Arabidopsis thaliana: one gene and its partner. The protein of the gene in region 2 interacts with the protein of the main gene of each other region in a pairwise test. Each region holds a gene or a part of one and is shown on either strand. Other genes may lie near its edges. The genes, in order: PAP2 and ARF22.

Region 1 (15,763 bases), on a different chromosome or scaffold from region 2:
GGAAGATGATGGTAAGTTTGATGAAACAACCACTCAGGGAGTTGTGCATACAGCCACAAATCCGTTTATGCTTGCTTTCCGTAAGAACGAAGAGATTGCTGCGTTTCTTGACAAGAGGGAGGAAGAGGCAGAGAAGCCACCTGTTGAGACACCAGTAGAGCCTGAAGCTGAAGCCTCTGTCACCTCAGCTGAAGTCGAGGAATCGGTATGTGTCCCAGCTGAAGTAACAAGTGAAGAGGTTCCCTCGTCAGAAACTCCCAAGGTAGTAGAAGAAGAAGTGATAGCTACCAAAGCTGAAGATGATTCGCCGGAAAAAGAAGAGCAAACGGAAACACTTGCTGCAGCAGCTGAAGCTGAAGAGGTGGTTCCTCCAATTCCAGAAACCAAAAGTAAGTTGACTAAAAATCACTAGATTGTAATTTTTTTTGTGTGCTACTTCTCATATTGGTTTATTATGATCAGTATCAGTTTATCAGAATCATTTAAAAAGATTATACAATGTTTGTATCTTAGAACTCTATCCAAGGTAACATATACAGCTAAAGCGTTGGGGATACTCCAAATTATAGTAGAGACCTTAACCACATAAATAGTCACATGAACTACGTGTTCTAAAAAAATCCAGAATAATCAAATTCATGAAGTTTTGTTTGATGGAGCAAAAGGTGATAAGAAACATATAAGACCACAAAGATAAAGACATTTTAGTTCATTGTGTAATGATTACTAGCATTGACCCTTTTCTTCTACCGGTGACCAGGTGAAGAGGAAATTGTTGAGAACTCTATTCCTCCAAACTCAGCCACTGATGAAGTTTCATCTCCAGAAGCTTTAGCAAGTGAAGAGGTTGAGAAGGAGCAAGTGGTTGCCGAAACACCTGTTGATGAAGTCAAGACTCCTGCACCTGTAGTCACAGAAGCTTCTTCTGAGGAAAGTGGCAACACCGCTACTGCTGAAAGCATCAAAGGTCCTTCTTTTGTCCATCCTTTACCTGTTTTACTTCCTGACTCATGACCTAATGGTTTATGTGAGATTCCATCTCCTAACACAAAAATGTAACAGGCATTTCACCAGCTCTAGTGAAGCAGCTGAGAGAAGAAACAGGGGCAGGAATGATGGACTGCAAGAATGCTCTTTCAGAGAGTGAGGGCGATATGGTCAAAGCTCAAGAGTACCTCCGCAAGAAGGGACTAGCGAGCGCAGATAAGAAAGCAAGCAGAGCCACATCCGAGGGAAGAATTGGTGCTTATATCCACGACAGCAGAATCGGTGTCCTCTTGGAGGTTAATTGTGAGACTGATTTTGTCTCACGTGGCGACATTTTCAAGGAACTTGTTGATGATCTGGCGATGCAGGTAACTCCAAGTTTCTAGCTGAAACATTTTCTTCGTTTTGCTATAACTGAGAATATAATTTGACCTGACATGTAGGTGGCTGCGTGTCCTCAAGTAGAGTATCTTGTAACAGAAGATGTTTCAGAAGAAATTGTGAAGAAAGAAAAAGAGATAGAGATGCAAAAGGAAGATCTTTTGTCGAAACCGGAACAAATAAGGGAGAAGATAGTGGACGGTCGGATAAAGAAAAGGCTAGATTCACTTGCATTGCTTGAGCAACCATACATTAAAGACGATAAGGTGATAGTTAAGGATCTTGTAAAGCAGAGGATTGCAACCATTGGAGAAAACATCAAAGTGAAGAGATTTGTGAGGTACACTCTCGGAGAAGGCCTTGAGAAGAAAAGCCAGGACTTTGCTGCTGAGGTTGCTGCCCAAACTGCAGCTAAACCGAAAGCTAAAGAAGAGCCAAAAGCTGAAGAGGCCAAGGAAGCTGTTGCAAGGTGAGAAATTTTTTATAGTCTTTGCTCTTCTTGACATGAATTCTTATAATGTTGGCTATAGAAAGATTCAAACTTTTTGCAATACGGCACTGCAGCCCACCAACTACAGTGGTTTCAGCTGCTCTTGTAAAGCAACTGCGTGAAGAGACAGGAGCTGGAATGATGGATTGCAAGAAGGCATTGGCGGCGACAGGAGGAGATCTTGAGAAAGCACAAGAATTCCTCAGAAAGAAGGGTCTCTCATCAGCTGATAAAAAATCAAGCCGGCTTGCATCAGAAGGGAGAATCGGTTCGTACATCCACGATTCTCGGATTGGAGTTCTGATAGAAGTGAACTGTGAGACTGACTTTGTCGGAAGAAGCGAAAAATTCAAGGAATTGGTTGATGATCTTGCAATGCAAGCAGTGGCTAATCCACAGGTAAGAAAATGTCCTCAGCTGAAACAATGGCATAAATTGGTTGTTGGTCTCTGACCTGAAATGTCTACGTGCAGGTGCAATATGTTTCAATAGAGGACATTCCAGAGGAGATAAAGCAGAAAGAAAAAGAGATTGAGATGCAAAGAGAGGATCTTTTGTCGAAACCAGAGAACATAAGGGAGAAGATTGTGGAAGGAAGAATCTCAAAGAGGCTTGGAGAATGGGCATTGCTTGAGCAGCCTTACATCAAAGACGACAGTGTTCTGGTGAAGGATCTGGTGAAGCAAACAGTGGCTACTCTTGGGGAAAACATCAAAGTCAGAAGGTTTGTGAAGTTTACTCTTGGAGAAGATAACTGATGAGACAGACGAAGTAAAGTTTTCAAATAAGGGAGCTCTGTTTTGTGTCATGGAGTTTAAAGTAAAAGTCTTCCTTTTTGTTTTGTAGACAAAATCTTCAGTATTCACATTTTGATTAGTTTTTAATCAAAACCTGTAATTTTTTGTTCATGAAAATATGAGATTTGCATTATATAAATGTGCATTTAGTGACAATGTGACATTATACACTAAATTCGGAGAAAGATTGGTTATAATGAAATTTTAAACCTTATTTTAAATAGAAGTTTCAAATGAATTTCCCTGAAGAAGTGAAACTAAATAAAATAATTTTTTGTTTCCTTTTGGATATTATATCTAAATATAAAAATCAAACCGACCGAATTACTACATACACTACAATAATGTTTTTTTCCTTTTATAATTTGTGGGCTAAAAAAGGTCGGTCGGCCCATTTTGAGCCCAATAAAATTTAGGGATAGATAAAGACATAAAGTAACGAACGATATTCCGAGGTTGTCATTTGCTAAGGAAAAAAAAAACGAAAACGTGTGTCTGTCTCTTCTCGTAGCGTCTCTCAAGCTCAGGTTCGTGAACATTCCAATCTCTCAATGCAAAAGCTCATTCGAATTATCCTTCTCTGTTATTTTCGAGATCCGATTTACTCTTCTTTACTAGTCAATTCTAGGGTTTTGAGTATTGATCTTTCGCAATTTCGAAATTTTCCCAATTTGAAAAGATAAAAATCTTCCCTTTTTGTCTGGATCACACTTGATTGCTGAAGTCATTGCATGCACTGTTTTGTTGTTTACAGATGAATTTTGGGTTGCCAAGTATATCTTGGTTTGGTAGCATCAGCACAAAGAAAGATGTAGCTATGATTGATTCCGTGACACCAACAACAACTTCTCTATTGGAACAGCCAGAGCAAGAGAAAGCAACAACCTTTCTTCTCAAACAGCCAGAGAAAGAGAAAGGCTTATTTGATATAAAGATATGGACTTGGTCCTCCTTCAGTTCAGTTCTTCCTTGGTCTGCAAATGCCTCTGATGGTAAGCAGAAACCCACTACTATCAACAGAGGGTTAAAAAGGCATGCTCTTTCTCGGAGGTCATCAAGATCAAATGGTGTGAATACTGTTTATCGGTTTAGACCTTATGTGTCTAAGGTTCCGTGGCATACAGGGACGAGGGCGTTTCTGTCACAGCTTTTCCCGAGATATGGACATTATTGTGGACCTAACTGGTCTAGTGGGAAAGATGGAGGTTCGATGGTTTGGGATCAGAGACCTATTGATTGGTTAGATCATTGCTGTTATTGCCATGATATTGGTTATGATACTCATGACCAGGCAGAGTTGCTTAAAGCTGACATGGCGTTTCTTGAGTGTTTGGAATCAAACAAGCGTGTAGTTACTAGGGGAGATGCTCAAGTTGCTCACTTTTACAAAACAATGTGCATTACAGGTAACTACAATCTCCTTATGCTTTTATATCAATGTGGGATTATTTCATAATTTACCTTATTATTCAGGTAGTAATATTTGATAATGGCCGTTTCCATTTGGTGATGTACTGATGTATCTTGAAACCATCTATCTCGAATGCTTTCAGGTCTCAAGAGCATACTAATACCCTACAGAAGTTACCTTGTGAAGATACAATACGGGCAAAATCTACTCGACTTTGGCTGGATAGTGAGCAACCTCAGCAAGAGAAGCTGGAGTTTTCAGAAAAACTGAGACATAAGGAAGTATATCGGAGGTACTCTGTCATCCCGGTAAGCCTTTGTGGGTGTCTTCACTTTCGTTTTGTACATAGAAGTCATAAAGAAAGGAATCTGAGGATTAGGTTCTTTAGTAGTATAGATATATATGTTTAGTATGAAGATGTGAAAACGCTAGTAAGTGTTGTGCGTCTTGTAAACCCGTTGTACATGTCTAGTAATAAACCCTTGTTTTTGAAGTCTTTTGTTTGAATGATATAAGCTCTATCAAAGGATCATTATAACTTCATTTCATGGAAACTCATGAACTAGAAAAACTATTTTCTATAGTAAAGTTTGCATCCAAAACATATATAACAATGAAAACCACATCCGGTTTACACACTACCAAAACTTTTATACATATGAATTATGAAGTCTTCCTTGGCAAACACACATACACAAACCCATATGTTTCATTAGATTGATTAGAGAAAGAAGTAAGAGGAAGAGGCCTTATTAGAGCTTAGTAGAGGCTGGTTTAAGAAAGATCAAACATCACTCCTAGCACACAAACACACAAGAATACTTCAAAACAAAATGGCTATTCAATTTCTTAAAAACATATTTTTTCAAATCATATATTATCACATAAAAGGGCTTTTCCTAGTTCCTGCTTCTGCACTTCTCCATCACCCTTGGAGCTGCAAAAAAAGAAAAAGCAAGATTTGTGTATGAATCATTGTGTATTCTTCATTTGTACAGTAGTGTGCAGTAAGTTCCTAGTGTTTAAGAGGCTTGGAAAGGACTAAATTGCATCGTTTTAGTTTCTCCAGTAATATATTTCTTTAGCTTCAGAATGTTTATAGAATCCAGCGAGAAGCTTAAGAACCATGAAAGTATTAGAAGGGTGTCTTAGTTCAAAATGGACCACCTTTCTAATACATCTTAAAATCGAGCACATGGGTGTGGAACATTAAACTAGGGTTTAGTAAAGAAATACTAACCTAAGCCGATAGCCTCAGAGCTCTTCATGATTCTCAGCTTCTTGCAGGAGCATATAAACATTCTGCAGAGGAAAAAACAGTAAGAGAGCTTCACTGATCTATATTCTTCTGTTAAGCTAAAACTGTGCTAAGATCATTAGATATGATCTAATACTTGATGTTAATTTACATTGTTGAGATTGATCTTTTAAAAATCAAAGACTTACTCCCAAGGGACATCTCCGACCAGCATCCAGTCACTGTCTTTATCTTCATAGGTTACAACATACTCAGAACCACGCAAGAGATCAGTCAAGCGACTCTCGTTTAACCCATCTCTGCCACACCCTCCATGAGAACCAAACTGACCTGAAAAAAGGAACCAAAAGAAAACAGTTAACTCAATCACTGGTATTGATCTCAAAGAAGGAGAGACTAGAAAACGTTACCAATGGTGAAGCAACTGAACATCTTCTCAAGAGCAGAAGAGAGCTCAAGGTAGCTTTTGTAAGTCTTGAGATCGATTTTCCTCAAGTAAGGAGCACCTTCCATACTCACTTTGACATACAAGCAAGGTTGTTCTGGTCCAGACTTAGCTTCTGCTTCTTCAGTCTCTGAGTTATTACCAGGTTTCTGAGATTGAGAAGAAGCCATTGAGTTCTTCCTGAATGATCTTATTGGTGGCCATCCCACCACTTGTGCTCTGCTCAATCAAAAAAAAAAAACATCAAGAATCCCTCTTCACAGAAATCATAAAACAGAGCAAAAAAGCTGAGAAAAATCTAAAACAGAGCAAAAAAAGCTTACTTTGAAGCTGGAGCTGTAGCAGAGCTCTTCTTCTCCTTAACCGGAACAGCCGGTTTAGTGAAAGTTGTCGACTTTCCATCTTTAACGACGGAGGTACGGGGACCAGAACCCGAGCCGACATCACCAGTAGCAGTAGTGGATCCAGGAGAGAAGACCCATTTGTTAGAGTCGTTAATAGCGTCGGAGAACACCCTTTTGGCACCTGACACGGGACAGCTACTCTTGTTGAGAGCCAAGAATCTTGAGTCGACTCGCTCCGGCGACTCAGAACCGGGTAAACCGAGTCTTAACTCGGTAGCCTTGAAATTGAGACCGTTGTTATTGTCTCTGGTTTTGGTTTTGTCAGACATTGTTGTTGCTTCCATGGTTGGAAACTCTGACAAACCTATGTAATCATGCTCTGCTGCTACAGATACAGACATTTTTTTCAAATATAATTGTGGACAAACTTTTGAAGCATTTAGTGATTACAAAAGAAAAAAAGAACAGAACACTTTCTGAGAGAAATGGGAAACAAAAAAATTTAAAGATGAGATCAAATTGTGAGTGAAAATGAGAAATGATAAAAAGGTGTGTGAGAGAGCTTTATTTTTTTTTATTTTTTTACCTTTAATCTTCTTTTTTCTTGGAATCGTATTATTTTCCAAAAGTGGACGGAAGTAGTATACGTAATTTTATATTCATATAAACCGTAATTAGAAGTAAGTACTTTCCTCTTTTGGCGGGTTTAAACACAAAATGTTGATTTAAGAAAATGGTACACATGAATGTATTGTATATACACGTTACGTTTTGTGTAGACATCTACTCCCCGACAGGTCACAGAAAGCGTCCTGAAACCTTTCCTATTATGCCCTTGTCTCGACTCTCGTATTCCACGTTTTGTTTTACTTTTTACTTTTGTATTTGAAAAAAACAATTTGCTATCTCATGAAGGTGTGCATGTTATGCTATCATGCAAAACGATTTAGTATCTAAAATACGCTTTTGTATGCAATTCCTTTTTGATATATGTATAGAGATGTTGTAATGAGTCACTAATTCTGTTTAGTTTGGCTTAACATTATATGTTTTAGATTCACTAGACGATTTGATATAACTCATAAGTTAGCTCGTGAAACCAATCTTTACTCATGAAATTGAGTGATGATAATGATAATCTAATAACGGTGAACCATTTAATCATGTGCATGATAGCATAACATATTCTATAATAAATCAAACGTATTGGAGTTTAAACTTCACAAACTTGTATAAATTCACTAGTAGTTTAGCTAACGAATGGAGATTATTAGTAAGTCGCCAATAATTGCGATGGAAGATGATATTTAGGCTTGGGGGTGAGAACAGAGAAGAGAATCTCGAAAAAGTTTTGGGCCCATAGGCTCTCATTTTTTGGGTCCACCAGAAGCATGAAAAGAGGAAAGAAACAGTAGGGGTAGCTCTTTGCCACTTAGCCGCAGTAGCAATATTGAGCAGTGTTCCCAAAAAGAATTGTGGTCTCCACACTCCACTTTTCATTTTTATCAGACAATGTTTTCCCAAAATCGAGCATATATGCTACAGTACATTACAATTTGACCTATTAGTAAAACTTTGATACTTGGATCATAGTCTTAAATTAATAAAAGTTTAAATGATCAAATCAGATTTAACTTTGATAGTATTTATGCCCATCTAATCTATCTCCAAGTATATTTTTTAAGTGGATGACTCAATCTACATTTAAACGTTTCAACTCATATTTTAACCCATATTTATTAAACCAATATATCTGATGCTATAACAATATAACATGAGAAGAAGTATATGAAATATTGTCATTTATATTCTACCAGTGATTTATATATTGTTTGGCTGTATTGATTAAGTCATTCATTTGTAACAACGATAAGTATATACATAGCAAGAAGACATACAAAAAAGACCTGTAAGTTGCAGTATTATAAAATATCATATGCATAGTAATTTGGTTAAAGCCTGCCTCTAAGGTGGATCCATCTTTGGATCTTATCTAAAGCTTTTTAGATTTGTGTTTTAGTGTAAGTTCGAGTGTCTTAATCATAAGGTGCCTTTCTTTAACTTTTCCTTTGTCTCTCTCTTTTTTTGGGCAAGGTTTTTGTCGTTTTTGGGACATCTCAACTTATATTCCACCTTAACTCACCATCTAATCGTGCCATTAGTTACTTACAAAGCTATCTAAGGATACGAATCTTTAGTAAAAATGTGTCTATCACTATAGAAATCATATGAAGGCTATAAAATCTAAAGATTAGTTGGAGTTACCCAAAGTATTTACTTATCTATATGGATGTTGCATCACATGTGGCGGTTTTAATTATTGTTATTATTATATATGGCCACGTTGGGTTTACTGTATTAACAAGAGACATCATAAGTAACTCTAGGGTTTAATTATACTAGCGAGAGACAGCTTAAGTAACTTAAAATGTTGGTTTTGAATGTTTGTTTATAGACTTGTGTGAGCGACAAATACATACTATAATTTTATTTATTTTTAGTACTGATGTTATACTTAATGTTTTTTCATTTTTTTCTGCTTTTCATCAAGCATAATAATTATGACTATAATTGAAAACTATGTAGTTAGTTGAGGATCGAATGGAATTACACTAAACCTAAAATGTTAAATCAGTGGACGACCGTACTTACAGCGTTAGTGAAAGATCGGTTTGTGTCGTAATCGAAAAAAGAAGAAAAAAAAAGAACAAAGAGACAGTGTGAATCTTTAGACAAAGAAGCCACTTACCCTCCTTGATTTAACATCCATACAAGAACCTCATGCTCCATTATAACTCATAACCTACCATATCGAATCAATCCGATGGCTATAAATGATTAGATCGATATAATTTTTTAACCTGTCATCAAATTAGATCGATATAATTTTTTAACCTGTCATCAAATTAAACCGCATAATGGTAACTGCCGGTTTTGTTTTTCTTATGCGGTTATTAATTTCGGCGCTGTCTACATATAGAACACACACACATATATATAATATTGGATCGTTTGGTGGCTGAGTATAATCTCTACACACGCCCTCATATATATATACTAGATAAGGCCGCCTAAATAGGCGGATGTATGATATAAATTTATTTAAATATTTATCAATAATATTTAAACTTTATATAGTAAATAGTAATCTACACACTTTTTCTAATATTTAATATAGTAATTTTTATATTACATAAAATTTTAATCATACACATTCAATTTTACTTATATTTTAACTATCTATTTCATCATAATAAACTATTTTGTTATTTATAACATAAAAACTACATTCAAACACTCTGTGGAAACGACATCCCGTTTATATCCTCTGACAATGTCGGACTTACAACTGTTGGACAAACATCAAATAAATATAAACCGAGCAGTAATTAAAACGCATAGTTTGCTAATCCATTCACTATGCGATTAGTTTTACTATACACATGAGTAACTCGGATTATGCAGTCCCTATACACTCCATCTTATTAATGATATTTGAATTTTAAATAGTAACGTAACTCTCATACTTTTTCAGTATGTAATTTAGTATTTCTTTAAACCAAATTTCAATCTTACAAATTCGATTTTGCAATACAATTTAAATACCTATTTTACCATAATAAAATATATAATTTAATGATATACACTCCATCTTATTGTTAGTTTTTTATATAATTTAATTATATACACTCCATCTTCTTGTTAGTTTTATATTTTAGATAAGAAAATTGTAAGTTAAATATTTAGATATAAACATATTAATTAGTATATATAAATATCTTTGTTTTTTAGTTTTCTATTTTCTTTTAGGAAAAAGTAAAAAAAAAAATCAAACACATGTCAAAATCTAAAATCGTTCAAATAACCACGTGTCATGATCTCGTGAGTTAGTAACTTTCAAAATTGTACTTTATATAATAAGATTAACTTTTTTTCTTAAGGTATTTCAAAGATTGTAATCATGGGATTCATTTGATTTTCTTTAAGATACATATGGTATGGGCTACATTATAGAAAGTGCTTGATATTGGGAGATTGACTTTGTCCATCAGAGTCGACGTTTCTAAGTCATACTCAATGATATGGGTTTACGTATGTGCTTAATATATATGCATATTGCGCTCCACTATCAAGATTTATGAAGAAAAAGAATGCTCAATTTCCACATGATGAATATTCACATTGTTCTATTTAACGACTTCATATACTAATTTCTTCTTTATATACACACAATTTTGAGTCGAAAAATCTATTAATCTTAAATGTATAATGATCTTGATATATACTGAAAAAACGTTGAACCGATCGATGGATAAATTTGTTGGAAAATTAGTGAAAAGTTTGTAATTAATGTAACTAGATAAAGAAAAAGGCAGAAACTACAGTGCTATTTCGGCCTCAATTCTCAAATGATCTCTAGATTCCTATTATTGAAAAATGCAATGAAGAATGGTGTGTACATAAAAACGCAGCATGATGCATCTCTTGTAATCCATCTTTTAAACTCAATCGGCTAATAGTGAAATTTTCAATTTCTTTGAGTTTTTACTCAATACTGATCTGATATCTAGTGAAACAATTTCTATTAGTGGCCTAGTGGGGTTTAATATACGGATTGAGATGGATCCGTCGACAGAATTTTACTATGTTTTTGGTGCTCCTTATAATGTCAAAACCTAACATTACACTTTGCTCGAGGCCCATGCACTATTCTTGTATTTATATATGTTAACAAAAATGCCCAATAAGATATGAGCTCATTGGCCCAGTAAATGATATCATTCGAAATTAATCATATTCTAAAACCTTAGGGGTGATATTCAATAAGTACGTATAAAAATAACGGAAGAAAATTGTCGTCTCTAACTCTCTGATAATTTTGAGAATATGATCAAATCTACCAGTGATATCTTTTAATGTTCTTATCGAAAGAAGCAAAGACGTACAAGTTTCCTGTATTTTCGTCCATACATACACTGAGTCACTGACTTCTGCGGAAGAAAAAAATCATATTCTGTAACAACAAAAAGAATTGTCAACTACAGCAAATAGTACAGTCAATTCACAAATCTATCTTAACAAGTACTTAATAACTAAGAGATAAACACAAATGTTACTTTCCGCAATCACAATATTAATAAATAAAATAAAATCGTCTTACTGAGTATTAATCAAGATGGTGACAAATTGACAAAAAAAAACAATCATTCAGACAACTAAATTTCTATTGGTATAATTCTTTTCCATATATTTTTAATTAATATGAGAAATAGTTACTCTCTTTTAAGAAAAATGTGGACACTCGTTTTTTCCCTGACGGCAACACTGGTTAAGGGTCCTTGATGTGTAATCGTGTCATTAAAAACTAATAAATGAGTTAATCAAGTCAACAGTTATTATTATTATTATTATTTATTAATACAAGTTGGCATTGCTCCTCTCAATGATTTAACTCCTTTATGCAGGGCCTATAATTTAACTTTCATATGCAATCATACTGACTTTATTCCTCTATATGTAAATATTTTGTTAATGTGTCGGTAGATTTTCTAATATAAATTGACTAAAACATAGAGACATTGGCGTTTGTGTAAGGCTATCGACAAAAGGTAAGATAAATCAGCCAATCAGGCAAAGGAAGAAAATTCAAACAATAGATACGAGAGATATAGTGATGCAAAAACATGTTAATCTTATTGTAGAGTTGGTTTGAATATGGGAAAGGTCTTCAAAGAAAGCTGAAGCATTCGAAGAATTTTATTTAGGGCCAGAGTCCAGAGATAAAAATGAAAGAATAAGATTTTCATATAAATTTGATTATACTTTGAACTATTGTAATATTCCTTGAGTGATTATTATGGTTGACATAAGAGGCCTTAACTATATATGGGTCCTATATAAGACAATTTTTCATAAACACCAAGACGGAATAGGTCAACCGCATGTCTTCTCCATTGTTATAATTTCTTAATACACAAAATTACGTTAGGTGAAGAAAATCAAGAATTATTCTTGTTTTACAAATTACAATATTTAACTTATCTATTTTCTCAAAGACCTTATTATTATTTTCAAATTATCATGGTGAAACTACATTTATATTTCTAGTAATAATGCAAAATAATAATAAAAAACAAGACGACACACTAAATGACTATATTGGTCATTTATTTGTACAATCGACTAATGTTACATCGTAAATACTAAATATGTGGGTTCGATACAAATTAAAATTGGATAAGAAAGGATAAACAATGGTTGACTTCGTTTGACCCTCAGTAATTACGATAGAGTGACGTCATACCATTTTCACAAAATTGCTGGCCATTTAAATCAGACAGATCAAAACGACCCTAAACAAGAAACTGCATTGTCCTTCATTTTTGTTTTTGGTAAATATAAATGCAATGTTTTAAAAAATCGCCTCTTAACTTTGTTGCTATCCATAAAAAAAAAAATCCAAAAGGGGAAATTTTTAATATAGGAATTTTTTAAACTATTGAAATTTCTGTAATGTAAAGGTTGAAATTTTAAACATCAATTATGTTGAATGAGAAAGAAAAATAAAATTAAGCATTGTTGTCTAATCTATATGAAGCTGAAAGAGGTAGTAATCAGATGTGGGCGCGAGCACGTAACATGTGGCCCAACATGTGGGCCCAACGGTGTCTCTGAAAACATGATACGGTCACTTTCACGTGCAAAAAGCCCAACGTGTGAATACAGTTTTTGTTTTAAGCCCATTTATCATTGGCCCCACACACCGGCCTCTCCAAATATTATTCACCAATTTAGAAACGCAGTATAATTATTATATTTTGAACCCAAAAATAAATAAATTGAAAAGGCTTTATAATTATTTAAATGAAAATATTATGTATAAGCTATTCGAAAAACAACGAACACGACTCGGTAAGTTTTAAAACCTCTAAAATTTGCTTTTGACATAAAGATAAAATGAATCATTTCTTAAGACGTAATGATAAAATTATATATAATATAGCAAAGACTAATAATGTGAAGTTGAAGCTTATACGTTACACCAACTTGAAATTAAAGCTAAATTATGAAGTCTTTATTTCATAATCCTAAAGCAGATTGCATTTGAAAGCAATACAAATCAAACTTTTAGTCAGCTCCACCAAAAGTTGGTCGCATTTAAATCCAAGAGTAATTAGGCTCTTAATAGAAGTTTAATTTGACTTAGTTTTCTCATGATGATGACTCCTTGCATCTTTATCCAAATTGCAACAACTAATGTTTAGTTGAATAAGTAATCCAACCTTTTTTTTATTTGGATGATAGATATACGTATCAATTACAGAATTATACGTAAGTATTATCATTTCTTTTCGTATCCAGCCTCAGTCTATTTCCGTCTATATAATTATCACTAAAACAATTTTCTTAAACATGTCTATTACTAAAATAAATAAAGCTCAACTTCTCAAAATTGATATTCCTTAATTATATAAACACAAGATATCTCACCAAATTACCTCCATCCATAAACATATACCACTGGATTGATCTTCGTTTGTCAGTGATGTAGATGCATAATATGAAACCTTGAAACCTTTAACATTGTATTAAGAACTCTTCGTATAGCACATCTCGACTATGTAATTTATCTTGTGTACCTTAGCATCCATTTGCCTTCCTTTATGTGATCAAGTGAAGGACAACTCATAATCATCCTTGTAACTCCAAGAAAATGAGCTAAGTCAGAAAACATAAAAATAGTAAATAAACAATTTAATTTTCTGTGTTTGATTTGTGTATACAAACACAAATCCATAGATAAAACATAGATCCATTTTATAAAGTCAATCTAGAATAACTTGATCGGACTTAATCCATCATCGTATAGCGATAAGTCATGGCAACTAAAAGTCACAACACAAGGCATATTTTATTTTCAATAATCAAATGTAAGTGGAAATATTACTCTTTTTAATTTATGAAATAGAAAACGGAAGAAAATTTCAATGTATAAATCAAGTATGTTTGCCCTTTCTTTCTTTCTTACAATCAAGTTGAATTTGTTTAGTGAAAGTAGGGAACGCTAGTGGACAAGTTGATTCGATGAAGAAGAGCATTTTATTTTCTAAGAATCGGTTATGACGTACATGAATTTTAAGGTTGACTCTGACTCCCTTTGTCTTGTCCCTTTTATAGTTTCTCATCAAATTCATTCCCACTTGTGGTGACCCCGTCAGTGACATGTGCGAATCTTAATCCTTTCTCGATTTTAAAATCCAGACATTTTTATGTATAGTAAAATGGTCCTTTAATGATATCAAAATGAACTGTGCCTAGTAAAAAAAAAACATTTTTATTCGTCAAAAACGTGGTTTATTAGCTTTCTCTGTTCCACTACAGTTTCTATTTTTACAGTTTTTACTGTTTGCTGAGAGACAGAGAGAGAAAATAGGCCTTTGCACGTGCAGGCCATGTGGGCCACCGACCCAAATCAGAATTTCATACAGTTTTGTCTTGTAGTAAAAAGCAATTGGGCCTTTAAACATGGCCTGTTCCAAAACCATTGCGATCCACGGGTTTTCCAGTCACATGTTTCATCACGTGACCAAAAATTTGTTAAACTTATATTTTGCATTTAAAGTATAAAAAAGCGATCTCTAAAACGAATTTTCTTGTTGGCAAACCAATTTCCTATACCCTGGAGGGAAAGAAGTACTCTTAAAAGCGGTGGCAATGGCTCTACCAACTTATACAATGGCATGCTTCCTTCTGCCCAAAACAGTATGTAAGCAAATAATCTCTGTTCTAGCTGATTTCTGGTGGAGAAATAAACAAGAGGCGAAAGGTATGCATTGGAAAGCGTGGGATCATTTGAGTTGTTATAAAGCGGAAGGAGGCATTGGATTTAAAGATATAGAGGCTTTTAATTTAGCCTTGCTTGGAAAGCAAATGTGGCGGATGCTTTCTCGACCAGAATCGTTAATGGCAAAGGTATTCAAGAGTAGGTACTTTCATAAATCTGACCCTTTGAATGCACCATTAGGATCAAGGCCATCTTTTGTTTGGAAAAGCATTCATGCATCTCAAGAAATTCTAAGGCAGGGTGCCAGAGCTGTTGTCGGGAATGGAGAGGATATTATCATTTGGAGGCATAAATGGCTAGATTCCAAACCAGCAAGTGCAGCCTTACGAATGCAGAGAGTTCCCCCTCAAGAATATGCTTCGGTATCCTCTATCTTAAAGGTGTCAGATTTAATAGATGAGAGTGGTAGAGAGTGGAGGAAAGACGTGATTGAGATGTTATTCCCGGAGGTGGAACGCAAATTAATAGGGGAACTTCGGCCAGGGGGAAGAAGAATTTTGGATAGTTACACTTGGGACTACACAAGCTCTGGAGACTACACGGTGAAATCTGGATATTGGGTGTTAACTCAAATCATCAATAAGAGGAGTAGTCCACAAGAAGTATCTGAACCGAGTCTAAACCCCATTTACCAAAAAATTTGGAAGAGCCAAACAAGCCCGAAGATACAACACTTTCTGTGGAAATGCTTAAGTAATTCCCTCCCTGTGGCTGGTGCCTTAGCGTATCGACATCTATCTAAGGAGTCAGCCTGCATAAGATGTCCATCATGTAAAGAAACGGTGAATCACTTGTTATTTAAGTG
Region 2 (16,472 bases):
GTGCCTTAATCTGCATTAACTTTCCAAAAAGCGTCTAAGTACTAATATTTTCATAAAATATCGCGAATTTAACCAACTATTCTCGGATGTCTCTCTCACAATTTCATTCATTCTCTAAAAGTAAATTGTGAAGTTTTTACCAAAATCTAAAACATCAAATAAGTTTAAGAAGTAAAAATATTTCTAAAAATGACTGAATAGAGTTTAAAATACTATATTTTACTCCAAAATCAAATAAATTTTTTAAAACCCAGACCCGGTCGGTTCAAACGGTTCACCGGGTCACGGTTGAATGGTGAGTTTTTGTGGATTTTCTCGGGTTTGAAATTGTTGGGTATTAGCACTAACCCCAAACCGGAAATATATCTAGATTGCGGGTAAATCGGTCGAACCGGGCAGTCCAGGTCGGGCGTGAAAACACTTACGTATCCTTAAAAAAACAAAAATGTATATATGATATGTTCTTTAACTATAACATAACTAAGTGAAGATACGAAAGACTTAAAAGATGAAAAGGATGTTTCTTTTGTAAATAAAGTGATAAAATTAAAAAGACACTTCACTTAATAACATTATCTACTTCCCAACTAATATATAGTTTTTAAATATAATTTTTTTTTTGTGCACCAACTTTTTGATTCAAACTAGAAAAATATAAGAAGATTGTTTATATTCGGAGAACCCCAAATAGCAAGTTTGGAAAATAAAGTATATGAGGATATATAAATAAAAGATAGAGACACAAGCTCGTCGAAGCTTGATAGAGCACCAAAAGAAATATCAAAACAAACTAATACGAGCAAATATATGATAAAAACACACACATTAAACAAATAATCATCAACTGGGTAAGTAGATAGTCACCATACTTTGTGACGTTTTGTTACATGTGTTTCCAATTATCAGTTAAAATCATAAATAATTGTTTAAGAACAAGATAAAATCCTGAAATGAACGCCGATAACTTATAAACTGTTATGTTGGTATATGAAAGGCAAAAGAATTAATAATTAATGCATAATCAAGAAAGAAAACGATACTGAAAGTATAATACAATGAAAATGAAAATCAGAGTTTATGGACGAGTAAGACCCGACCCTATAAATAGGAGTGTAACATTTATGAATGAAAATGTTTTGGGAGAGAAATGAGACTAAGCTGCTGAGAGCCCTCATTGTCACAAAGAAGGAAGCCGATAAAGAAGGTAAGAGGGACATTGAACCACCTCCAATGATTCTCGAATTCTTACTATGGAGTTCATGAATGTTCATACATTGGTTTGTGGGTAGAGTGTATTTACGTGTTATGGGTTGGGTATTTTCACGGATGTAAAAATATGATTAAGGTGTTAGTTCACTCATTGGTGTTTTCGTAGTAGATGACTAGTGTTGAGTGCTAGAACTGGTCGATGGTTGCTTGATGAATCAGAAAATACCACTATAAAAGAAATTGACACTTTAAACGAAATAATTGTATCCCTTTTATTTGGCAAGTCAGTACCATGTTTTAGATCTTTCAAAAAACGTGCTGAATAGGCTACTTGACAGCTACACTCACCATGAAAGTTTTAGTCATATGGTAAATGCTCATATTATCCATAATTATATTAAATATAAACCGTTACTGAAAAATCATCCTTCTATATTATTTGGGAAGTACATTTTAAATATAACCTTATTTTTTGTAAGTAATTACATAGGTATGCCATTAGAAATAAAATTTTAAAGAGTAAATTAATTTATCTTTTTAAGGATAATAAAATCAATTACTAATTTAATTAATTAAATTTAATAAAAAACGAAATATATTATTAATTTTCAAAAATAATAACCAATCAAAATCAACATATAAGATTTGATATTTAAATTTTAATTAATTTAATTTAATTAGAAAAACGAAATACATTATTAATTTCCAAAAAAGTAACCTATTAAAATCAACAAATTAGATTTGATATCTAAATTATCATATTAATTTTTTATTAATTATTATAGTTCACTTCTCATCTTTATATGATTCTATTTTTGCGAAAAATAATATCATCATTATAAAAAAATAATTAGAGTTTTTTCGCATATGCTATAATTTGAATTTTTGAAAACGAATATAAACTGTTCAATACATAAAAAAGTATTATAACGGATGAAAAATAGATTTAAGAAAATTTTCTACTGAGTAACGAGTTATAATTTAAAATATTTATATTCAATTTCATACATATTATATTGAAAATTTATAATCTTATATACTACAATAATTAATAACATATTAGATTTTTTTATGTGTATGATGTAATTCAATTGTTAATACAAGCTAGAAAATCCTAGAATTGACGGGTTTAGATCGATATTAATACAAGATGGTATACTACAGGTAAAACTCTTAAATTAACAATCAAACTACAAGTGTATAATCTTAAACACTAAACAATATAGATAATATCAACAAAACATATACAACTCACAATTTACTTTTAATATTTTATATACAAAATCAATTAAATCTTAAATTAAATCTTAATCACATAAAAATTAGCACAAAAAAAGTATTCAACAATTAAAAATTTATCAAATCTCTGTGTTATATAAGTTTTGATACTATATTCGAATAAAGTGTAATATACCTTTTCAATTTGTATTCTTTAACTAATTTAAGCTAACTAATATATTTGCTAATCTTATACCTATCAAAACCGACTATCATTTTTTATCTCTATAGTATTTTTGCAAGACTTTTTTGGTGGAATTGGGTAAAAGTGCATTCGGGTCATATGGTACATTCCCCTATTAAATAAAAATGGTATACTCCTATGTTATTAGCTAAAATGTTTAGATTATAATTCAGAGTCATATATTAATAAAATTAATATTAATAAAATAAATAGCTTTTTGGCAAGACGGATTTGGAGTGACGGGTTTTTGAATCAACATTAATAAAAAAGTAAAATATAATTAATACACCGTTTCAATACGGTTAAATCTTTAATTTATTATTTTTAAGACCACTAATATTAAACATATCAAATCATCCTAATTTAGAAAAGATTATATAAAACCAAAAATGTTATGTGGTATGTATAATGTTACCATATATAAAATATAAATGTATTAGAGAATGATATAATTTGCAAAACTTTTATTTATAAAAAATAATTCTTAAATTTTAAAAATTACTACTTTAAAAAACAAATCACAGGACGGGTAAAGAAATTATAGAACGGGTTTTATTTTGGAATTGAGTTATATGGTGGATGTATTTGAATCAATATTTATAAAATTTTAAAATATTATTAATATGCTGTTTTAATAGGGGTTACAACTTCAGTTTTGTAACAATTGTCTCATAGATTCGTGGTATAGCCTTACTTAATAATAATTATAAACTGTAAAATATAAATATTTTATAAAGATAAAATTTACAAATTTTAATATATATTACTTTTAAAAAATAAATTGTCCCGCGGTATACCGCGGGTTAAAATCTAGTTTATCTTATAAAGCACAAGTCACTAAACCAGTAAAAACTTGCTACCTAGATTTTTATTTTTCAATTAATTTTTTGTAAAAGGAATTAAACAAAATACTTTGAGATCGTGGAGAAAAAAAAAGCCTCAAAAGAAAGAAAAACCAATTCTCCGCCTAACAAAATTGGGCTACGTGAAATCAGAAAAAATACATTGTAAGCCCATCACAATTTTTTTAAGTCCAATTGCCCATCCTAATTCTTAGTTTTCTACATGGTTTTTTTTCTTTTTATCTCTCATATGTCGACTATCGTGTCCTATAAAATCTCCAAAAAATGTAAAAAGAATTCTAATTCCTAATTTTGCTCCCACTAACACCTCCAGGTTCAAGCTACTTTGTAACTGATTCATCTTCTATTTAACTCCAATAAATTCACTTTAATTTCTAATCAATATTTCTCTCCTTCGCCAGGTAATTGTTGAACTGTTTTATGATTCTCTGGTTCCAATTATAAATTTCCTCATCAATTGTCACTACATCCTATGCCGATTAGTCATATTCTTTTCTTTTATTTTTGTCAACTCAGTTGAAGATGCCTATGGATTTTACTCATGTTTCACATCTAAATTCTTCAAAAAAGAATAAAAGATCAAAGGTCTAATATCCTTGACCTTGAATTTTTATCCCAAAAACAAATAGAAGGGAGAAAACGAAGGAGATGAGCCTAAAGAAGACAAAGGAAAATAAACTGTTGGCAAAAAATGTATGATTATTCACTATGGAGGGACCTAAATTATTAATCCTGATAATATGTTCTGATTTTAGGGTATCATCAATTGCATGTCTCATCTTCTTTTTGCAGTTTACAATTTTGTTTTGTTTTTTGTATTTCTCAATTATGGTTTAGGTTTGTTCATCATCGTTTCATCAATTGCATGTCTCATCAAATTCTCTATTTTAAATTCTTTCGATTTTCAAATTATGCATTCGGAATTCACAAATTTGCTTTCACTTTGTTCATCATTGTTTCATCAATCACAAGTCTCATCAAATTATCTATTTCACATTTTTTCTTAGTCTTCAGAATAATGAATTTTATATTTACGTTTTCAGTATCTATGACATTACCATGGAGATGAATCTTCTTAAACACCATTCACTCCAACACAATGGCAAGTTATGCATATATCCTTTGTTGCAGCACAAAACATTTTCGAAGAAGAGCAAATTTGAAGGTAAATTCACTTCTCTTATGGTCAACCCTAAACAGATTTTTTATTATCAATTTTGCAGGTTTGTTGCATCTCCATTTACTTATGTTTCATATCATATTTCTGGTTTTTTTATTAAGTAGCCAAGAAATTGTTTAATCTTTTCAAACTTCCAACTCTTTATTTCTTATGGTTTTTCATATGCTATATACATATTTCAATCATAGTCGATGAAGGGTATATCTCTTTTCATCATATCATTTATACAAATTACAATGTTGTTTCACTGTTTACAACGGTTTTTGGAATGCTTTATTATCTTTAACAAAGTTCTCTTTGATTTGGCAGGCTCTCTAGGTCTTTTACAAGTGATCATATACCATTGAGACTCCTCTACTCGCACCAAGTGGATTCCCGTCAAGCCATTACTCGCATCACACCAATTATTCAGATTTTGTATTATACAAGCTAAAGAAACAAAAGACTCGGCTGGGATTTTCTCCAAACCATTTGGCTTACTCTTCATTTTTTTCATCACCATTCATCAATATATCAAAATTAAACATTTTCGACTTTATTAAATCGTATTGTTAAATGTTTAAACATCTAAACATTTCTATCTTTGTTAAATGGTTTAATATATTTTGGGCCGTACGTAATACGAGTTTTAACACTAGTAAACTAATATATGGGAAAAAAGATATTCAAAATTTCTCTGTCGATAACAAAGATGTTTTAAAATGTATAAATGCATTACTACCATTATCGATATGTTCAAGTGTGTTTTATACTTTTTGTTATGTACAAACAATGACGTATATTTGAATATGATTTTATTTGTTCGTTACTCGAATGCAATAAAACTTACTATATGCATTCGAAAATAGAATGTTTTATTATTTTTTGTAGTACTCTTGCATATAGAAACTGAAACTTTTATTAAACAAATATATCGCATCTATGCAACCAAACTTATTTTTACAAGAGTGATTATTCATATTAATTTCTGTTCACCCAAAAAATATATTTTAAGTTAGAAATATACAATTTGGTCCTCCCTCCTTTTCTCTTCCTTCCTTCTTCTTGACATTATCAATTTTGTCCATATTTATAACCATAAAACCGCTTACATTTCTGATTTTTCATATAAGTTACATTTTAAATTTCCAAATCACAAAGTATATTTTCTTGTGCAACAAACACATAGTAGTATGTTATTCCTTAATCTCCCAAAAAAAATCTACATTATTGACTGTTTTAATACAATTCAAGCATGTGAAATGAAGAAAAAACTCTTTACCAAAATCTGAATACTCGTGATGCCGTTACACCCGATCTATGATAACTTTTTATATCTTTCCTGCCTCTACTTCCTTATTTATAAATTTTTCTTAATCATGACAGTTGAAATATCTACTCACACAATACTTTTTTTGATTTAGTAGTTTTAATTGAATATGAATTGGCCGAATTCCCAAGTTTCCCATAAATTTATATATATATATTAACTAGTTGTGAGTGGTGACACAATTGTAGTGATAGATTTAAGGAAATATTTACTAAAAATATAAACATATTTAGCAGTATCATTTGTTTATGTCTTTAAAATATCCGGTTTTGCAAGTACAATAATAGGTAGAGTAAAATCTTTAATTTATTGAATGACTATATACTTCGTGTTACACAATTTTCTTTTCAAAATATCATAAAATAAAATACTACACTCAAATTTTTAGAATGTAGATGTGATATGTATATTGTATGAATTAGAAAGAAAGCTCTATATCACGACAACAAGGGAATTTTATTTTATTTATGGACGATGGAAACAAAAGTACATAAGACAAATGCATGCAACAACAAATAAGAGAAAAATAAAAATAGGACAAGACACCGGTAACATTTTCGACCCCTTTTATTACATATGTTTTGATTCTTAATTCAACTTGAGAGACTCTTACTGGACTTCAAGTTTTTGACCTCCTCTTTTGAATATCAATATCTTCTTCACCATGTTGCAGAATTCACTATATGCAAACAACACAAAAAATGAAATATCAACGTCTCTCAAGATTTTAACTAATCTTTCAATCGATAGAAATAGAAAAGAAACTTACGGCCATGGATCGTCTCCAACAAGCATCTTATCATCGTCACTATCTGTGAAAGCTATTTCCCATTGGTTGCGAGTTTGTAATTGGCCTTTGAGATCGAAGAGCTCCTCCAATTCTAGTATTAGCTGATCATATCCATTCAGAACACTTAAATCCACAGCTCTTTCTATTGTTACACCTTGCATTTGAACCTGTTCCATATCAAGATTGCGTGAGTTGAGTACAATGAGAAAAAGTTTCATATATAAAGAATAAGAATATATTGATCTTATACTTACTTTGGTACAAGTTCTAGTAGAACTGAACTGCTTGCTTTGGATCTCTGTTGGTGATCTCAAAGTTTGGCTTTGACCAAACTTTTTTCCTTCAGTAAGTTTCGAAATCTCCGAGCCAATTTCTTCAATGGGATCTTTGATCACTGAAGGAGTGACCAGTGAGACTCCAAACAGCCTAAAATTAGTGCCAGTCTTGGTTGTTATATTTTCTTCTATTTGTGTAACCATTTGGTTATTGTAATTTAGTTTGGGCATTGGTTGGACAGGGTAGCTCATTAGCAATCTAGAAGGATTCATAACATCTTCAGTTGTATCACGATAAGTGAGAGAAATATTCATCGGGGAGGCCACGCTTAGTTGGCCAATTTCTTGTCCTTGTGTCAATATAGGAGGCAAGAGATGTGATGATGAAGAACCTGTATATAAAACAGGAATATTGAGAAGGTATTTAAGAATCTCAAATTCATTAAATAGAAGATTAATTCTTTAAATAAAAGATTATAAGAGTCTCTTTTTATACCGATTTCATTAACTTCTCGTAAACGCTTGTTCTTGAGCAAAGATGGTCGCGGAACATTTAACGCAGGCATTAAATGTTCGATCTCCCAGGGTGACACTTTATTAGGTCTCGAAAATGATGCAAATTCATCCCACTGCACCTGCAAGATTAAATTTATTGCATTCAAAAACGTATTCCTAAAATGATGTTTTAAAGTGTGAATGAAATTTTACTTCTAAGTTGCGCCACTCTGAACACTTCCAATGAGGAGAGAAATCACTAACTCCAATAATTGTCCCAAAATATCTTAATCAATAGAACAAAATGTGTTATCATAGATAATATTAAACATTACAAATATATTTAAGTAGAAAAAAGTTTTCATCTAATGTTACCTTCTTTCAGAGAAATCATCACCCTCAAACCGCATTGTAAATCTTGAACCAACATTGAACTTATTGTTCACAGCATCTAAGAATTTGTCGTAACTGACAATAAATTGACTTGATCTGATACTTATAAAGACACAAAAAATATATAAACCTACATGTTGAAGGAACTAATCTATTGATAAATCAATATAATCTTAAAAGTGAGTTCAAATGGTTCTTTGAATTACCTTGGCTTGTAAACCACAATGAACATACATTGGTTATCAAAAGCATGCTTTGCGGAAGCAATCACCCCATGTCTCATACTTTCTATTGATATTATTGATGAAGGTATATTCCCTTGTTGATGTCCTGCTCGTCTGATACCAACTCGTAACTCTCCAGTCTCTCCCCTGAAACCACAAGTAAATAGTTTAAAATCCAAAACTCAAGAACCAAAAGATCCCTATATAAAAAAAACCAATAATATACCTAACGAATACAATAACATCCCCTGCAACCAATTTTTTTGATGTTGTGAATGCATTCCAACCAGTTGTTAACAAATGTCTTTGCGGTGTACCTGCATGGGATAAGAAGATTATTAGTTACTTCTCTAGGATTTATTACCTCAATAGTTGTGTTTGAATTATATGAATAAAAGGAATTATTACCTCTATAGTTGTGGTTGAATCTCCATTGATTACCATGGAGATCTGTAGCAAGAAGTTCTTGTGTCGGTAGAGGCTGAGACATATCCTAAACCAAAATTTAATATGTAATGTCTAATGAAAGTTTAAAATTCAAATTCGTTTAAAAAACTATAACATTAAATACCAGGGGAGGAAGACATTCAATGGCATGTTTTTTTGGAACAAAGAATCCACCGCTTGTATCCGAGGCCGTTAAAACCTTCGTAAAGGAATTAACTAATGGTCTAAATTGATTTTCATTTTGAGTAGGGATTACAACTTGCTAAACATTTAACAAAATCAGAAAATCAATCAGCTATAATAAGAGAAAAAATAGAATTAACTGAAAATAAAAGAGAAATACTAAATTTTCACTTACAGTTGTATCTGGCATCAAAGTGATCTCAGCATAAGTCTCATCACTATTGTTTTCCACCTAAAATCAAACATCAAACAATTAACCAATTACTTATTTTTACAATGAAATCAAATATATATCATGCGTATTCGGTAAAACATAATAGAGATATACCTTAAGTTGAATAGCAATAACACGACATTGAAGCTTAGAAGGAAGATCACAAATTGGTTTTAACTCATTCAACTCTTCTCTTGTAGATGCCTCAACCTGAAAAAAGTCGTCAAAAGGTTTTGATACACGAGAGAGAGGGAGAGAGAGATAGGGAGAAAGAAGAGAGAGAGAGAGAAGAGGGAGAGAAGAGAGGGAGAGAGAAAGAAGAAAGAGAGAGAGAGAGAGAGAGAGAGAGAAGAGAGGGAGAGAGAAAGAAGAGAGAGAGAGAGAGAGAAAAAAAAAAAAAAAAAAAAAGAGAGAGAACTCACAAGCTCTATATTGCCTTGAGGAAAGTAATAAATCTTTTCTCCAAGTTTTGGAATATCACACAAAGGCCCCGCACAGAGTTTCCATAACTGCTCGTACATATAACTCTTGGATCCATCAACTGCCGAACAAAAACTAAAACATTATAACCAAAACAAGTTTTCACTAAAATAAAATAAAAAGTCAAAATTTCTTACTTATGCCTGATAATTCAGGTTGTGCATTCACAATGTTGCCACTTTCCATAAGCTCGTATCTAAAGATCGGTATACCAAAATATGTTATCCCAACAATTATTATACAACTTTCTCTCTTTCCTCAACTTCTCTCGCGACCATGAGAGCACAGAATATCACATTTATAGGTAAGAAGTATTAAAATACTTTCTTAGATTTGAATACTAAATTTAATAAGGTTACCAAAAATTAATAAAAGTAATTTAGAGAAATGTCATTAATATTTTGACTACATATAAGAAAATCATTAACTTACCAAAATCAACATATGCTTTATTCATATATAAGTTGAGTAATATAATACAGTTTTAATACTTACACCGTGATCAGACCTTTCATATGGGATCTATGGTACATCTCATGTTAGATTTTTCTTTTCGCTTCCTCTATAAGTTTATAAGGATTCCTTATAAACCGGGGTTCTATAAGTATATATTGTCGATATTTGGAGAAATTTCCAAGGGCATGTTCCCCTTTCCATTTAGTTGTGATGTGAATTTGCATGTATCCCATGGCTATTGGGATGTCCTTGGCATCAGGGGTGGATTCCCGGTGGTGGTTGTGATTTGGCCTTATAAGGGGGTGTGGATTATAATATGATGAGTTCCATCAAAAATGTACAAGGGTTTCTCGTTGCCTCTCAACCCGAATGTCATCTAAGCATTTTGTTCTATGTTTTATATTGATGGCTTTTATTTTGCTTCTCCGTCAAAAACGTGTTTCCGTATTTTGTATCTCTGTCAAAAACATGATTTCGCATCTTCCGCCAAAATGTGTTCAATGATTTTCCCGTCTAAAACATGTTTTCCGCAAAAAAAAGTAATTCTTTATATTTCTGCCAAAAATATAACTTCGTAATTTTCTTTCAAAATGTGATTCAGTGATATTTTCACCAAAAACATGATCATGATTTATGATGGTGATCAGATGATCATTAATAGTGATGATGATCACGAATGATGATGGTAGTATGATGATGATTATAATAGTTATTATTTACTATTAATGATAATTATTTAGATTATAGAATATTTTTTTTTATCATCTATAGAAAAGTTATTAATTGAATAAACTTATTTATCCATTAATTCAATAATTTAAATGACTTATGGTTTTATCCAAAGTATTTGCTAAATGAATTAGATTGACTCATTATCCATTAGAAATTAAATTTGTATGGATATAGATTGGTTGGATTTGGTTTAACCAACTTGACATCCGTAAATATAACACCCACAAAAAAAAACTTATAACACATTAGTCAGACAACAACAAAAAAAAATACGATTTTTATTTGTATAGATTTATTTGATCCAATAAGTTTACCTTACTTAATTTAATTTGTAAATTTTTTATTCTTGTGAGAGTTAAAATTTTATTTGTTGTCAACTACACATTAATTAAAAACTAATTATATGAACGCTTATCTAATCTAGAAAAATTAGATTATAATTTATAAATAAAAATGTAGATGATCGATCTAAACAATCCTTTTTAAAATTATATATGAGAGGAAATCGAAATGAAAAGAGAAAAGAAATTTGACCAATTACAACAATGGTGATGCTAGTGCTATCATTGAGACTACACTCTTAGAGCCCATTATAAGGCCCATTACGTAAAACATAATAATCTCTGAACTAATAACAAACGACTATGGGATATTTGATCAATTGACTTGTATTCTTGTAGAACATACGCAGAGGTTGACGACGATGATAACAGTAGGATTTATTCAACCCAATTCTCTCTTCTCCTTCTCAACTAAATCCATCGACAAGACACAACCTTCACGAACGAAATGGGTCTCTTCCTCGTCCTCTTCCTTTTCTTCTCACTCTTCCGTTGAGACATTTCATCGAACAGGTAATGTGCAAGTTCTTCAGAAAGATGTTCTCTGTGGCAACAATGAAGAAATTAGGAAGAAGAATAAAAGGGTATTCTTCTTAGACGTTAGTCCACTTTGCTACGAAGGAAACAAACCCAGTTCGCAAGCTTTTGGTCACTGGATTTCACTCTTCTTCTCTCAAGTCAGCCTCACTGATCCTGTCATAGCTGTAAAAATCTCTCCTTTTCTTTGATTCTTTCTTCCGCAAGCTTTTTCTCTTCTTCGATCAATGAAAGATAGTTCCTTTTGTAGGTTATCGATGGAGAAGAAGGTAACCAACGACGCAGAGAATTGTTGCCTTCATATAAAGCTCATAGGAAATCACCAAATCATGGGAGATACTCTAAGAGGCCACATCAGTTTGTTGATGAAGTTCTTAGAAAATGCAATGTGCCAGTGGGTAAAACTGTTTAATACTCAATGTTCAATAGACTAGCTCAATTCTGTAGCGTGTATATAGTTAAGTGAATTAGCCGTAGAAGTGAATGAATGATCTTACTGGATTCTTGTTTATGTGTTAGGTTGTTAGAATAGAAGGGCATGAAGCAGACGATGTAGTAGCTACGCTAATGGAACAAGCTGTGCAAAGAGGATATCGTGCGGTTATTGCATCGCCTGATAAAGACTTTAAGCAGTTGATCTCAGAAAATGTTCAGATTGTCATTCCATTGGCAGATCTCAGAAGATGGTCCTTTTATACTTTGAAGCACTACCATGCTCAATATAATTGTGATCCACAGTCTGATTTGAGCTTTCGTAAGTGCCTAAATCGACTTATGGCTACAAACATGTCTCTTGACGCTTGTCTTTCTGTCAACTTTCTTTGTTAAGTGTCAAAGCCAACTCAATCCGGCTGGTTCTTGTGATAGGATGTATAATGGGTGATGAAGTTGATGGAGTTCCGGGGATTCAGCACATGGTCCCGGCGTTTGGAAGGAAAACAGCGATGAAACTTGTGAGAAAACATGGTTCTCTGGAGAGTTTACTAAGCGCAGCAGCTGTAAGAACCGTGGGGAGACCATATGCTCAAGAGGCCCTTACGAAATACGCAGACTACTTGAGAAGAAACTATCAAGTTCTTGCCTTGAATAGGTTCTTTCTTTATCACTTTAAACCCCTTCATTTTGATTGATTATGCATCACTTGTAAGATATTCTTGCTGATTCTTCAATCATTTTTGTATCATAGAGATGTGAGGGTACAGATTCAAAATGAATGGCTGATGGAGAGAGATACAAGCAATGATTCAGAAGTATTGTCAAGCTTCTTCTCAACATTGCATGGATGATACTGACAAGCTAAAGCACACTCTCGCATTTTAGCTGATAGCTAGTTTTTGTGAGCTTGAAAGTAATTTTAGACATTGTAGTTCATATCTGATTTTGTTATATACTTCCATAGATATGAATCAAAATGTGCAGTTTGTTACTAAATTTGTTTATCACTATGGACATGGCTGGTTAAATCAAAATGAACCATAATAAGTAAGAAAAAAAAAAGAATCCAACTTTCTGCTATTCTGATATTATTATTATGGCGAAAACAAAATTACAGACACAAAAGAACTGCTTAAAAGGCTAAAAACTAGAACATCTTACATAACTTATCATATATATGGCAATGCCTTAGAGACTAGTATCTGAAACAGACTCACCAACATTCCTGGGCGAGAAACCACAGGCATTCGCAATAAGCATTTGAAAAGAACTCTCTGAATCATCAAACATCAGTCGCGGAAACTCGTGGAACCCTCCAAAATTACATGTATCAAAGTTCATTGGTGAGAACGACTCCTCAAAACATATCCTCCCATCAGTCATTCCAGGCTGTGTGGTTTCTTGGTTAGCATTTGATGCAGAACCAAGATTGAAGCCAACCATTCCTTGGTTGTTGTTCCCGCCTTCAGAGCTCCCTCTCTGAGTAGATGTACTGGCTGATGGTTTTGTCTCTTCAAGAGGGATTGCAGGCGTGTGTCCCTGGAACAGAGCTATGTGACCAAACAACTTGTCTTTCCTTGAAAATGTTGTACCACAGGAACAAAGCCACTTGTTTTTCCCGCAGTGCTTCTCGTGGGTTTTAAGATCTGCAATGACAGAGAATTTCTTGGTATGGCACCGGCTGCAAGTGAAGCTTTTATCGCAGTGGGTGCGTTTATAGTGATTCTTCACGCATAGAATCGTTTTCAAAGGCTGGAACTTTTTGTGCTCCTTGTTACGTTTGCAACCAAGGAATGGGCACGAGTACCTCTTGATCAGCATCGGCTCAGACCCGGGTACGGATTCTTTGTTCGGTTTCGCCAGAGCAGCTGCTGTTTTGTACTCATCTCCATGCCCTCTCATATGCATCCTCAAATTCGCGTCTCTCTTGAAACCCTTGCCACATATCGTGCAGAAGTGAGTATGCGGTGCGAGAATCTCTTCTTTCTCAAGCTGCAATATCTCATACGAACCGGGAGGAAGGTTCTCTCCTTCTTCCACATCATCTTCATCTTTCATCTCATGTTCCTCCACAACATGACCTTCCCTCTCATCAACAAGAACCGGCTTAGGCAAATCGAACTCTCGAGCACCACAGTTGTTATTGTTCTGACTCTGTGAAGCAACGTTATTAGCCTCCCTTACATAAGGGAACACGGCTGAACCGGGCTGCCCAGTGAATGGACCCGGAGCTGTTGACATATTATGCTTAACAGATGGAAGAAGACTACCTGCAGTTGAAATAAGCTGTATGATAATGGAAGTAAGATCCGTCGTTATAAGCTGCTGCTGCTGAGCCGCGAGCTCGTCTTGACGACCTTGAAGCTGCCCACCACGACCAACAAGAAGATGAACAAGATCCTGCAGCTGGTGAATCTTCTGCTCCATAAAAGAAAGGTTACTCAACATCGTCCTTGGATCCCACGCTTGAGCCCTAACACCTTGTAAGAAATCAACATTTGCTTGAATGCTCTCTTGCAATCCAGGCTCCACACCCATCTCATAATCCAAGATTGAAGCATCTTCCCACTTCTGCTGGGACGTAAAACCTGCGAATGTCGAATTCCCACAGTCTGATGAACCCGGCTCTCGCGATTTCGAAGAAGAGCTTCCCCAATTGGTGTTGCACAAATCGTCTTCAGTTTCCATTTTTTAGTTCAAGATCTTGTTTTTCAATTAAGAGAACAACAAAACCTACAAAAGAAACCATAAAAATCAAATCTTTATCAGAATCAGAATTAGGACCAGCTCAAAGTTCATCATACACACTTCACAGAATCAAATTTCATTACTAAGATTCAAAATCAAACTCAAAATTATCGAAATCAACACAAATTCTTCACCCAAACAAACAAAAAAAAATCTTCACACATAACTCTTAAGATCCAAAAACCAAACGGTCAAACAAAAAAAAATCATCAAAATCATCAAATCAAAACTCGCCGACAACAAAATAAAACCCTAAATCAAAAACAAACACGATAAAAACAAAGTTTCACAAATCAAAGATCACTAAATCAACAGAAATGAAAAAAAAAATAGAAAGAGAGAGATTGAATCACCCACAAGAAGAAAAGCTTGAGATGGAACTTGGAGAGCACCAATGGCCGCTTTAAGAAGAGAGATAGATAGAGAAAGTGATGATGATGATGATAGAGAGAGAGGAGGAAGCAGCGCCTGAGCGGGGCTCATGTTTATTAGCTTTGGGGTGCTCTCCACTTTCTGATCTACCCTATGTAAAGTCAACCCATTAATCTCAACCGTTGAAATTATATAAAGATCGGTATCAATCAGATCTGACGGTGCAAAACCATATTATCGCATTGAACATGGTAACGATGCATTAGAGCCGTTGATTTATGAGAAAAAATAATTGATTACGAGGTGATTAGAGTAAGTCAACCTAATCATCGACCGTTCGTTTATAAGTAAAATCAGATCCGACGGTTTATATGCGTTTATCGCATCAAGAACAGTACCGGTGTATCGCAGCCGTTGATTTAGAGAGGTGTGGGTGGGGTCTACGCTATAGTTGGTCGTAGTTTAAATATTATTATTCGTATTATCTTTCTCTTTCTGTCTGTCCATGCACTTCATTTTTGCTTATTTGACTTGGCTACTTCAAATATTGAATATTGTGTGCATTAAATATTTGTTTTATTTCAACTAGATATTTGACAATTTATAAACAACAACATTGTATCTTCTACAATTTTGATGTTCGAATTGGTGGAAAAATAGTTATAAAGGTGATGTTTATCATATCCTCCTTCTATTTTGGATTAGTTGTTTTTAAAGGTTTTTACACATAAATTAAAAATAAAAATTGTGTTACTCCTAATTAATATGTTATTTTATTTAATAATATTAAATAATCATCTAAAACAATTAAAAAAATTAAAAAATTTATCAAAAAGATGCATTGAAAATATAAAACGACAACTAATTTGAAACAAATTTAACTTCCCAAAACAATACTTATTTTAAAACGAAGAGAGTATGAGTTCAACAAACATTTTGCTTCAAAATTGGAGTAATGAGAGATAAATGTAAGAAAAATTACTAAATTTGTTGTAAATCAAACCATATTTATTTAAAATTTGTGAGTAACCAGAATAAATTTCATAGAATTGCCATAGCTAAATAATTTTAAACTGTACGTTTCACAGTCGTGAGAATTAATCTCATGAAAATAATAATATTCGACATAGTTCATATTAAAATTTACATCTTCGAGTGTTCATCTTTTATATTGAACTCCCAAAAAATATATTTTTGTTATATTCAGATGAAGATAAAATCTATTTCACTTCTAAACTGGAGTCTGTTTCAAGATTCATCTACCATAAAATCTAATATAAGTGTCTTTTAATTTGGCTTGTCTAATTAGTCTAACACTTGACAGAAT

The links.
Region 1: the proteins of ARF22 (region 2) and PAP2 interact in a two-hybrid assay, tested with the Arabidopsis thaliana proteins (one large-scale study listed by BioGRID).

Annotation. Positions count from the first base shown.
Region 1 is NC_003075.7:14,318,700-14,334,462, forward strand, and holds PAP2 (phytochrome-associated protein 2), read right to left. Parts: upstream 6,663-15,763; 5' UTR 6,515-6,662; coding exon 6,093-6,514; intron 5,989-6,092; coding exon 5,735-5,988; intron 5,655-5,734; coding exon 5,513-5,654; intron 5,369-5,512; coding exon 5,307-5,368; intron 5,004-5,306; coding exon 4,966-5,003; 3' UTR 4,597-4,965; downstream 1-4,596. Other genes in the region: emb2726 (elongation factor Ts family protein), read left to right, coding at 1-389, 761-967, 1,063-1,355, 1,431-1,837, 1,933-2,257, 2,332-2,616; AT4G29070 (Phospholipase A2 family protein), read left to right, coding at 3,410-4,061, 4,209-4,336; AT4G29090 (Ribonuclease H-like superfamily protein), read left to right, coding at 14,829-15,763. UniProt on the Arabidopsis thaliana protein: Aux/IAA proteins are short-lived transcriptional factors that function as repressors of early auxin response genes at low auxin concentrations.
Region 2 is NC_003070.9:12,549,243-12,565,714, reverse strand, and holds ARF22 (auxin response factor 22), read right to left. Parts: upstream 9,711-16,472; coding exon 9,662-9,710; intron 9,586-9,661; coding exon 9,467-9,585; intron 9,255-9,466; coding exon 9,159-9,254; intron 9,063-9,158; coding exon 9,006-9,062; intron 8,910-9,005; coding exon 8,772-8,909; intron 8,694-8,771; coding exon 8,609-8,693; intron 8,518-8,608; coding exon 8,427-8,517; intron 8,348-8,426; coding exon 8,183-8,347; intron 8,073-8,182; coding exon 7,959-8,072; intron 7,870-7,958; coding exon 7,797-7,869; intron 7,724-7,796; coding exon 7,585-7,723; intron 7,481-7,584; coding exon 7,068-7,480; intron 6,981-7,067; coding exon 6,793-6,980; intron 6,703-6,792; coding exon 6,633-6,702; downstream 1-6,632. Other genes in the region: AT1G34380 (5'-3' exonuclease family protein), read left to right, coding at 11,416-11,757, 11,841-11,984, 12,110-12,344, 12,458-12,680, 12,777-12,876; STOP1 (C2H2 and C2HC zinc fingers superfamily protein), read right to left, coding at 13,214-14,713. UniProt on the Arabidopsis thaliana protein: Auxin response factors (ARFs) are transcriptional factors that bind specifically to the DNA sequence 5'-TGTCTC-3' found in the auxin-responsive promoter elements (AuxREs). Could act as transcriptional activator or repressor.